Linked DNA regions of Drosophila melanogaster. Changing the gene in region 3 together with the main gene of any one other region gives a genetic interaction. Each region holds a gene or a part of one and is shown on either strand. Other genes may lie near its edges. The genes, in order: Orco, Gdh and shop.

Region 1 (3,756 bases), on a different chromosome or scaffold from region 3:
CAAAATGCGGATCCCGTAACAGTGTCTGTGGTTTCTGCTGTGCTGCTCTCCTCTGCCCTGCTCTCCTCTGCTGAGGAGAGATTTTCTTATACGAATCTCTGCAAAGAGCAAGGAACGAGTCCTTCGAGAGCGAGAGAGAGAGAGAGAGCTCTCAGATGGCGAGTCACTTCTCTTGTTGCATTTCACAGGCTCAACGAGCCACAGATAATGCACGTGAGTTGCTGAAGCTGCCAGATGGTTCAGATTGCTATGCCTTTAAATATAAAATGGAACACGTCCTTAAAAATTAAATATTATATACATATATATATAAGAGAGAACCCAAAATGGTATCTAAGCAGAAGTGCAACAATATAAAATTAAGCTTAGAATTATTATTATTTTAATAGCTATCACTATCGATTTGCACATTTTTATCCGTATGAAAATAAAAATTAGGCAAGACACTTAAAATTAAGCATGCAAATTCTAATCACATGATTATTATAGATTCTATTAATACTACTACTGAGCCAACTTATATCGATATTCAAATAATATTTGTATTTTAATCTTCCACACGTTATATAGGCATATTTAATGCACCTCATGCTTTTACATAATTGCCGAAAGAGTGGCAACGTCTTGCCACAGCGTCTCTTATAATTTTAAACTCGTGGAGCTGAGCCATCTCAGATTTAACTCTCCCTGCGCATGCTCTCGCGTGGGAGAACAACTTCGAATTTCGGGCAGAAGGATAACAAAGAAAGCACTCCAACGAAACGAACACCCTACAGACTAATATAGAACACCACAAGACCAAAACTCGTTTAGTTGCCGCGTTGACAACTTTGTGGCAGGCGGCAAACAAACAAACCTCACACTAGTCCTGAATGTCCTTTATGCGGACAGCTGTGGGGGCGGGGATCCTGTTGCAATTCCATTGTGAAAGCCAAATGCATTGACCTGCTTAGACAGCTGAGAGATTTACAACTCCCCTATAACTCCTGGCCGTGCTGCAGTTCTGGGAAAGGGAGCAGCGGCATTAAATGGCAAATAAATCTAAAGTTAAACTTTTGACACTGTCTCGGCGAGCAGCCACGAAGGCACTTCCTTCCGACTCCCTCGACTTCCGGTTGGAATCTGTCGCCCTGTCAGCGGCAACAGAAGAAGTGACACTGGCACGCAGACAAGTGCACTGAGAGAAATTGCTTCGGTCATAGCTCAGTGAAATACTAATTATTTCTGCTGAGAAATATTGACAATTTAAAACAAAAGTCATAAAATATGAGCATACATTTTTTATGATTAACTAAATACTAATGCATTCGTTAAATATATATATACCGCCGAAAACAAATTAAGACATTTCCTATTCTGTCAATTACAATTTCATATTCAGTTATATTGTTTTAAACTAAACTGGCGATATATAAACTTTCTGGCTGAAAAATCTTTCTGAAATTGTACACCAGCAATTTCTCCATGTGTACTACTGTGCGATGTATAAGGATTGGATTTATGAGCGCCCAGCACCTCTACCGAAATCTTATAAAACCCGGGAATAAATAATAATAATTCTTGCGCTTTTCGCTGTTGTTCGCATTTCCCGCATTTCTCTGCCATTCTTTTCCATTCTTATGACAATGTCAACATTTCTTTTGCTCCCCTAATGGCCTGAAGAAAGCACACGCACACACACACACACATATAGACCACTCGCACACTATGAAACCGAATGTGGCACACACCCCACGCACTTATTTATATGTATTTTCGATCGTCTGTTGTTTTTCCAAGTCGGTTATGCATAGCCATAAATTCTGGTAAAAGCCTTCTGTAGGTCGAGGGCCACGGCGGTCCGAAAATAAAGGAATTGCTCCTGATGCTGGCACTTACGCACACAGCCAAGCAGCAGGATGGGAGAGAGAGGACCTCGCACACACGGACTCACGCACTCACACGCAATTGGTGTTCTCGCCGTTTTTGTTTGTCACTTAACAGATTTTTCTGTCCTTGCTGGGTATTGATTTCTAATTTTTCCTTCGTCGGCTTTGCGCCCCAAAGAGGTTTTTATAATGTGTGCGTGTGTGTGTGTGTGTGTGTCGCATTGATTTCGCAATTTATGGGCGATTTGATGGATTGCTTGAATAACTTTATATGCTTATTTTTGAGTTTTTATTGTTTTACAACTTGCGGTATTTTATGTAGAGATCCTGTGGACGACCTAATGGAAATCATTTGGTTTTGGCTGAAATGCGGCCATAAAGGTGTGAATCAAAATAATGTTGCCTATACTTCGGGTATATCATTTCATATGGAAAGCGCTTAATAATAATTATATAAATATATAATTTCTAGTTAATGTGACTTTATTAACCCATTAGTGCGTTTTAATCATTTAATTTGGCATCAGAATCGATCACAGTCACGAACACAAAAGCGTAATGGTAAAAATAAAGGCTCATTTGTTTAAGTTGTAAATTAAATAAAGCAAGTGTCACTTTCCATTTAAATGTTGCCTAATAATTAATGACAAAAGGCTGCAGGGCTCACGATGTCCGCGGTTAGCTAATTGATCCAAACGCATCCGCGTAATTAAACTTTCAGCCACAAGCCCATAAAATAAATCAAAAAGCGAAGGACCGAAAGGGGCAACATTTAGGGGGGGGGGGCTTGTTTCGCATGGCTGAGTTCAGGACGATTAAACGTTAAATCAATATTGTTAAATCCCCGCTCGCATCCCCGCAATCCACACAGGCAAGTGTTCACGTATTAATTGATGTTCGTGAGTGTCCTGCATTTAAATAATCCATGATTTGGGACATCTGTGTCTGAGTTCCCATTCATATATGTATGCATATGTGTATATGAGTGGTGGAAACTAGCTGCAGATATAGCTACAGACACAGATACATTTACATTCCGGCACATAGTTTTAAGTGTGATTCAGTTATTCACAATAGTCGCCGCTTTTTGTTCTTGCCACGTTTTAATATTGTCACAACTAGTTTCGAATAACTAAATTGGATGTTTTCGATTAGCATTCAATACACTGCTCAGCAATTTCGTTTGCGTTGCAATTTGAGTACTAGATTTTGAATTAGACAATTGTTTTATTAATTGCCTACATGTATATTACCTAACTGATTTCGAAGGCCACTTGTACGACCTTGAGATAGAGTATTAATTATTTAAATTCTACTGTATTATAATTGCAAAGAATTGTAAGTATTCATAATATATAATGGCAACCCAATTTAAGACTTCTTTTGAAGGCCCCCGCCTACCGAAATTCAGTGCCTATGAGAACTGAGAACGAAAAAAATTGAGCAAGGACCAAATATCCATCAGGCTGAACACACACATTTTCATGCAAATAGGCAATGTGTTATTTTTTTGGGTCAGCGATTCACGGAGGGATCCCCACCAAATGGGTTGGCTGAGGAATGGCCTATCCCCATATCTCAGCGGCACTTGGGGCAGGCCAACAAATACAAGCAGGCATAATAAAATAATCGATGCTTTTAAAATTTGCATAAGTTTGGATACCGCAGATGCCGCGCAAGGATGAGCCCATCTCCAGTCCCAGTGCCATTCCGCCAGTGCGCATACGCCGCGTGGAGGGCACAGGACTGGGCCATGGCCCATGGCCCAAAAGCGGAGTCCTAGACCCGGAGACGACAGCAGTGGTGGACAAGTTCGTGGGCGTTCGATTTAATTGTGGGAATTCTGCGTCTGCCACGCACCCATCACATCGATGGACGTGGCTGAAGA
Region 2 (3,756 bases), on a different chromosome or scaffold from region 3:
TTTGGCTTATTTTTAGATTACTAAACGGCTTGCCAAACACGTACGCTTACAGCAAGGCGCTGTCGGAAGATTTAATTTGCAGATACAACAATAAGCTGCCCATAATCATCACAAGGCCCTCGATCGGTGGGTATACCATAGTGTCTACTCTGTTTTTGTGCCTCCTGGCTAATTGCTTTATTAAATCCATTGCAGTGACGGCCGCCATTCACGAGCCATTGCCCGGCTGGATCGAGGGCGTCAATGGACCCACCGGCCTAATGATCGGCGCCGCCCGCGGAGTCATCCGATCGATGCACTGCAATCCGGACTACGCCTCCACGGTGATACCCGTAGACAAGGCCATTAACGGCATGATCCTGTGCGGCTATCAGCGCGGAAAGGCCAGCCAGGAGAAGGGTAACAAGCAGACGGGTGTTGAGTTCTGCAATCTGTGCATCTCCAGCAAGGCGCTGATGTCCTGGGGCGACAGCATCGAGACGGGTCGTCGATTCTTCTACGAAACGCCGCTCAGCTTTGCGCTCTGGTATCCGGGTGGATCCATCAAAAAGAACTACTACCACCACCTTTTCTGCGTCATCTTCTTCCACTATCTGCCCGCATACTTCATCGACTTTTGGCTGCTCGTCTTTGGCCAAAAGCCATTGTAAGTAAACGGTTAAATTTTAAGTTCTCCTATTAACACATGGATTATTCCCATCCAGCTTACTCAATGTCCAACGCAAAGTGTCCATGGGTCTGAAGCTGCTGCAGTACTACACAACGAAAAGGTGGGAGTTCCGAAACGAGCGCTTCCAGGAGATGAGCAGTCAGCTGAGCCTCCTGGATCAGGACCTCTTCGACACGTCGGTGGGTCAGGTCAATTGGGAGACATACATCAGTAACTACATTGTGGGCATGCGCACCTATATACTGGGCGAGAGCGAGGACACTCTGCCGCAGGCCAGGAAGGTCCTGCGACGGCTGTATATCCTCGACTGGGTCAGCAAAGTGCTGTTTTTCTCCCTGAGCTTCTGGTTCCTGTGGACCCATTTGGATGGCTTCGTGGAACGGAGCGATGCCTTCATCCGATCCTCGCTCAGCACCATTTACCATGAGCGAAACAGCACCATACATGTATAAACTCTTCTTTAATTATGTACTTCAAATATAGTCCACAAGATTTTGTTTCTTTTTAAGTAAGCTAGCTGTGTTTTATTTCTATTTTAACTAAGGATTAAAACTCAAAACAGTCACATAGGAATTGTGTGAAAGATCAATAGCATGATAAGCCCGAAAGTTACGTGGTAAATTCCTGAAAGTATGAGCTCTAAATAAAAAATTTAGCAAAACCTTTAAAAAAACACCTTATATAAAATATACCTTGTATATATCGTTTGTATTGTACTGTACGATGTTTATTACTTAGATTTTCAAGTGCTTTCTAAAAGAAACTCAGTACCCCCCTGAATTCAACATATAGCCGAAGATGATAAATCATAGCTTAATCTTGGAGTCAAAGAAAAACGTGAACGTGAAACCGATAACAAATACCTAATCTCGCCCTGGCAACGAAGCGAGTAATCCGCCGGCGGTGGTGCCGCGTTTCTAGCGGGCACTCCACCCACAGAGCTTTTCGGTGAAAAGTTTGCACCGCTCTCGCCGGAGAGCAAAAAGCTCGGCGCTCCGAAAAAGCCGACATATATATACATATCTATGCGAGTGCCTCGGCCAGTTTGGTGCGGCGTCGAGTAGCGAGCGGTTGTGTAGAACAGAATAAAAAAAGAGTTGGAACCCGAAGAATCCAAGCGATTAGCAGCATGTATCACCTGAAGAGTCTGGCCCGCCAGGGCGCCCGCCGCCAGCAGGAGCTGGCCACGCTGGCCAAGGCACTGCCCACCGCTGTGATGCAGTCGAGCCGCGGCTATGCCACCGAGCACCAGATTCCCGACCGCCTCAAGGATGTGCCCACCGCCAAGGATCCGCGCTTCTTCGACATGGTCGAGTATTTCTTCCATCGCGGCTGCCAAATCGCCGAGGAATCGCTGGTGGACGACATGAAGGGCAAGCTGACCCGCGACGAGAAGAAGCAGAAGGTGAAGGGCATCCTCATGCTGATGCAGCCCTGCGACCACATCATCGAGATCGCCTTCCCCCTGCGCCGCGATGCCGGCAACTACGAGATGATCACCGGCTACCGCGCCCAGCACAGCACCCACAAGACGCCCACCAAGGGAGGCAAGTGTTGATCCAAGATAACCCAAGATATAATAGTCAGAACTCTGCACGTAGGTAGTAAAAAATGAGACGTTAAGAGGTTTTCAAAAGGGATGCAAACAAAAGTGCCAAACCTATAGAGACCACTAGATGATTCAGTTTTCCTTGAAAATCTAAAACAAAAAATGCAATTACCTAGCAAGTTTAAAGCAAAAATTTGTCAACACTTACTTAAGTTTTAAGAAACCCTCAGAACAGCTGTTGTCGCTCGATGCAAAATCGATTTTTCCTTAGGCATTTCTGGCATTTCGTCTTGATTTTTCAAGTTATGTAACCCAGTATATAAGCCACACCAGACCAGACCCCCTTTTCCCCACGTTCTGCGCATGTACCGCTGCCGCCTGTTTTGTTTACGTTTTAGCCGACTGGGCTCCCCCTTTCTCCACATTTTTTTTTTTTTTTTTTTTGTTATTTGAGGGTTTTTAGGCCGCATTGCATAAGGCTCGGACGTTGGGCACACGTGTTTGCATTAGATTTCCAAACCCTTCAAGTGTGCCACCATTCAAAAACAGATGTACATATGCTGAATGTACTGCCCGCTTTTCGCACATTTCATTATTTTCGAGCTGGCAAATGTATTTCGATTCTTTCGCTGCTGTTTGTTTTTCCTTTGGCTGGGTGCTATTTATAATGAACTTTTGCTTGTGTTTTGCTTTCTAATTGAAATGAGAGCACAGCACTGCACAGTGTGTCAAGTGCTAAAAAAAAAGTAACGCCCCTAACCACCAAAAAAAAAAAGAAAAAATCTCCTTGTTGTCAGGCCACAAAAATTGTTTGTTCCGAATTCTGTTCCTTTTTTTTTTGCTTCATCTCAAATTATTAATTATAGAATCAGTTTGGTGCTTATCAAAAGCAAAAAAAAAAGAACACAAAAAATATGTAGTGAAAAATATTCGACTAGGGAATCTTATCTGACCTTGGTTATGCGCAAAAATAGAAAACAGAAACAGCCGAAAAAACGCTATGCCCCTAAAATTTGTTGTTTACGATTATTGCCACGCTTCTTAACACTTTATGATCTTGTTTTCGATCCATAGATCGATCGATCGATCATGTGGCTTAGTTAGTTGGGTCACCAAAAGTTGTAAACAGCCTGTTACTAAGTGAATTGAATCCACCTTATGGCTCGTTAATGATTCACTCAAATAGCCAGCTCTCTGCTATTTCAGTCAAAGGTGCTAAAAATTGCTAGTCTATTTATTTACTTAGTACTACTAGATCAATGGACAGTGTTTAATGGCCACCATTTTGTGCGCTCCATGCTCTAATTAATGTTAATTCCCGCTGATGCATCTGCCATTTGGCTGTTAATTATTTAATACGTTCTGCGTATGTACATACATCAAGTCCCCGGTCTCGAATTTCGGCAAAAGTGCCCCTTTAAAAAAAAAACAGCCGGCTCATGAATTTCGTTTCGTTTGGTTCCCTGTCCAAATGTCGAGTTGTGTGTGCCTCTAAAGAACTGGTTTTAATTTGCCCGGGGTGTCTGTCCGTTCGGCT
Region 3 (3,756 bases):
TGTGACCCTCGTCGTCGTCCACTTTCACCCTGGCCCCTGGCTGTGGCGTACAGATGGCCGATGTCACCGGCATGGCCTGGATGGCATCCGATTTGCTGAAGTCTACCGTGTCCCAATCGGTGCTAGGGCTAAAGCCCTTATAGTCGTTCTGCTGCCAGTGCGAGTCCGATTCCTTGTCCGCCACCACGATTCGCGTTAGCCACTTCACGTTGCGAGCGCCCACTGTGCCGGGAACAATTACGCGGATGGGGAAGCCATGGTCTCTGCTCAGCGGCTCATCGTTCATCTCGTAGGCCAGGATGACATCTCCCCTGGGATCGAGCGCCTTGGCGAGTGGTATCGATGCTCCATACGGGTGGGAAGTGGGATCCAGGTCGGCACCCTCGAAGATCACGTGCTTGGTCTCATCCGGCTGCACGCCCTGCTCTCTTAGAATGTCGCACAGTCGAGCTCCTGACCACTTGGCATTGCCCACTGCACCAGCTCCCCATGAAAGACCTCGGAATAGGGACAAATGGACCTAAGGGAATCATCAGAGAGATACCTAACCAGACGACTTACCCTTTACGGCCTTGACTTTGGTCATCTCAGAGCGTCGATTGCCACCGCACATGATGGCCGCCGTGACCGAGTGCTTGGGCAGGGCCTTGATCCCGTCCAGAGTGAGGGTCTTGTCCTTGGCGCCACCTTCGATTTCCAGCTCGTAATCCTCCGGATTTATCACTGGCACTGGCAGGTGGTTGCGCACATAGAATAGCTCGTTGGGCGTGTAAAACTGCTCGGCCAGCAATCCAATGGGTGGCTCAGCGTTGAATGGTCTCTTGGAGGCTGGCTTGAGCAGGGCGTGGCGCTGCGGCTCCTGTGACCAGGGTGAGCCCAGCTCATCGTCCACGTTGGTCACCACCAGTCCCTCCAGATTGCCAATGCGAAAGCCCTCTAGGAGCTCCAGAACCTCCAGCGTATTGTGCTGCTGGTAGATGCCCCAAAAGGGATCGATGGCACTGCCGGCGGCCATCAAGATCTTATCGCCACCGGGATGATTCTCGACAAAGTCCGTGACATCGTATACGCCCAGGCCGTAGGTGACCCAAATGCGTTTCTCTACGCTGTTGTGCTGCTCCACTTCTTCTGCCCTGTAGGTGGGCAACTCCCTTCTGTTGGTCACGTGCCACAGTCGGGCCGTTGCCTCTAGTTCCTCCTCGCTGGCCACCTTCTGTCCCTCGAGCAGCACATGGTTCTTCTTGTCGGTCAGCCAGTGGTAGCCTAGGGTCAGGCCACCTGCCCAAAAGGCAGCATAGAACAGTTGCTCCGACCTGCTGCCGGGAGAACTCCATTGGCTGTGCTGCTGCTCCTCCCTTTCTCCATTGCTACCGCGACTGGTGGTCAGCAGGAGACGCCGGTGATGTCGCTGGTGCTGGTGGTGCCTTCCGCGCAGCAACCCCGCCCAGCTGGGCCTGAGCAAGCGCATTGTTATGTAACTGATCACCGGTAAATCAGTCGATTCGTTTCGAAAGAAATCCAAACCAATCTCAAGCTTCCCCGCTCTGCTTCTTGCCGCTCCGGTGAATCTGTTTCGCTGCTGATTTATGTGGCCTCCTAAGTGATATGTCTTGTGGTTTGTCCAGTGGCGTCATTGGCCCCAGCAGCCTCTGGCCCCCAATCGGCGTTGGTTTAATTGATAAGCAATCTTGGGAGCGCTAATTCGGCTGTTTACCAGCCGCTCCTCGACAACAAAACACACTGTATCCATGCCCCCATGCGATATTTCCCGCAGTAGGCAACCCTGTTTCGTGTTGTTTGCTATACCCTTTCCAGAGGGTAGCTACACTTCACCATCTCGTTGGTGTATATCAAACTTTATGAAGAGTACAGACAGTGTACTTGGTGATGAGATAAACTAAACATTAACATTATTAATTGTGAAAATAGTTATAATCATTTAATCATTTGTAGATAATGCACTATAACCATATGTAACTATAAAGTAGTTTCTATCTATAAATGCTGCTTGAAATATCAAAAATTTACCATAGTTATAATATGTATCGAAAATACATATTGAAAATTGCACCAAGTGGCAGTATATACATTAAGTATGGTTGTAGGTAAAGAGTATGTGCAATTCGACTCTAATTTTACCTATTTTCAACATGCGCGAAGTACTCGCCAGCCCACCTGAAAGTATCGATTCCCAGTATCGATACTTGGGCAAAAGTTGTCGGCCAAGAGTGAATAACTAAAATGTACGCTAATAGAGAAATTAAGCTCGTTAAAACACGGATATTTGCAGATAAAAAGCTCTGACAAAAGCACTTGTTGCTTTGTTTATTTTTATGGGTATGATAATGTGATAAGATATGCTTTCATCTTCCCTCTCCCTCTAATTCGAGGGAGAGCTCATGAGAAAATATGAATAGCAAAAAGAAAAACGTTTAAACTTGTACGAATATCTTATAAATTCTCTTTTTGCTTAACACCAGAAAGTTTGTTTTGTTTTTTAATCCTCACTAATGTGAAAATGGTGATTTATTTATCACCGCACTCTTTCTAACTGGTGGAGCTTTTTAAAACGCTTTTTAATCAAATAAATTTTCGTGTATTTCGTGGATATACATATCTGTAGTAATGCAAGCACGATTATGCTTTCATGTTGATTAGTTGTTTATTGTCTTTGAAGGCATCTTCCCTCTCTTTCGAACCAAGATGTCTCAGAAATGTTTATAAATAAAATGCGAAAATGCGCGAGGGCGTGTGTAAATAATTATTAATTGTTCTGCTCTTCATTTCGTTGGATTGAATAGTTTTTGTTAGATGAAACATTAAAGTAGTTGAATGATTAAGATCATAATGTTGTGAAAAGTATTTTTAAAAATGTTTAATTATGTATAATCTATATATATCACCCTATAAAATTCATTAAAACCACCAAATAAAAAGTAACAATAATAGTTTATTAATAACCACAAGTAACGAGTTAGGAATAAGGGCATTTTGATGATTAATAAATAAAACAGATTTTGAAGAATCGACGTTTATTAATAAATATGTCTTACTTTCAGTTGCTGCACCGCCGTCTGCTGGCGCAAGCACATCCGGAGCAGCGGCCACCGCCCAGACCGCGTCCAACAAGAAGGAGAAGCACCAGCGGAGCAAGCAGGCGGACAAGGAGAAGGACAAGGACAAGGAGGAGAAGCAGGCGAGCAGCGGCAAGCGAAAGAAGGAGAAGATTAGCGTGGAGAAGATCGACACCGGCGACTTTGTGGTGGGCATCGGGGATAAGCTGAAGGTGAACTACCACGAGAAGAAGTCGCCCAGCTCGCATGGCAGCACTTACGAGGCCAAGGTCATCGAGATCAGTGTCCAGCGCGGAGTGCCCATGTACCTGGTACATTACACAGGCTGGAACAATCGCTACGATGAGTGGGTGCCACGCGAACGGATTGCCGAGAACCTGACCAAGGGATCCAAGCAGAAAACTCGCACCATTAGCACCAGCAGTGCGAACAGCGGTAGTGGTGGTGGTGGTGGCGGTGGAGGTGGAGGTGGAGGAGGAGGAGGAGGAGGAGGAGGTTCCCTTTTGGTGCAGGGCTCACAGCCCCCAGGAGTGTCCGATAAGCAGCCAGGCAAGGATGGCTGCTCCAAAATGTCACCCTCATCGGGAAATTCGACTGGACCTGGAGCTCCGTCGCTGTCGGGATCCTTGGGAGGCGCTAGCTCCACACCTTCGCTGCTCTCTACGGTAGTCAAGACGCCACC

The links.
Region 1: of shop (region 3) and Orco, changing one enhances a phenotype caused by changing the other (phenotypic enhancement), as found in Drosophila melanogaster (one study listed by BioGRID).
Region 2: of shop (region 3) and Gdh, changing one suppresses a phenotype caused by changing the other (phenotypic suppression), as found in Drosophila melanogaster (one study listed by BioGRID).

Annotation. Positions count from the first base shown.
Region 1 is NT_033777.3:5,410,700-5,414,455, reverse strand, and holds the start of Orco (odorant receptor co-receptor), read left to right. Parts: upstream 1-2,049; 5' UTR 2,050-2,061; intron 2,062-3,756. UniProt on the Drosophila melanogaster protein: Odorant coreceptor which complexes with conventional odorant receptors (ORs) to form odorant-sensing units, providing sensitive and prolonged odorant signaling and calcium permeability.
Region 2 is NT_033777.3:23,941,055-23,944,810, reverse strand, and holds the start of Gdh (glutamate dehydrogenase), read left to right. Parts: upstream 1-1,709; 5' UTR 1,710-1,799; coding exon 1,800-2,217; intron 2,218-3,756. Other genes in the region: CG12268 (uncharacterized protein), read left to right, coding at 17-126, 196-646, 705-1,122.
Region 3 is NC_004354.4:18,846,821-18,850,576, forward strand, and holds the start of shop (shopper), read right to left. Parts: upstream 1,747-3,756; 5' UTR 1,469-1,746; coding exon 562-1,468; intron 499-561; coding exon 1-498. Other genes in the region: htk (hat-trick), read left to right, coding at 3,060-3,756. UniProt on the Drosophila melanogaster protein: Required in ensheathing glial cells for normal larval locomotion. Oxidizes sulfite which is required to maintain glutamate homeostasis and as a consequence, neuronal network function.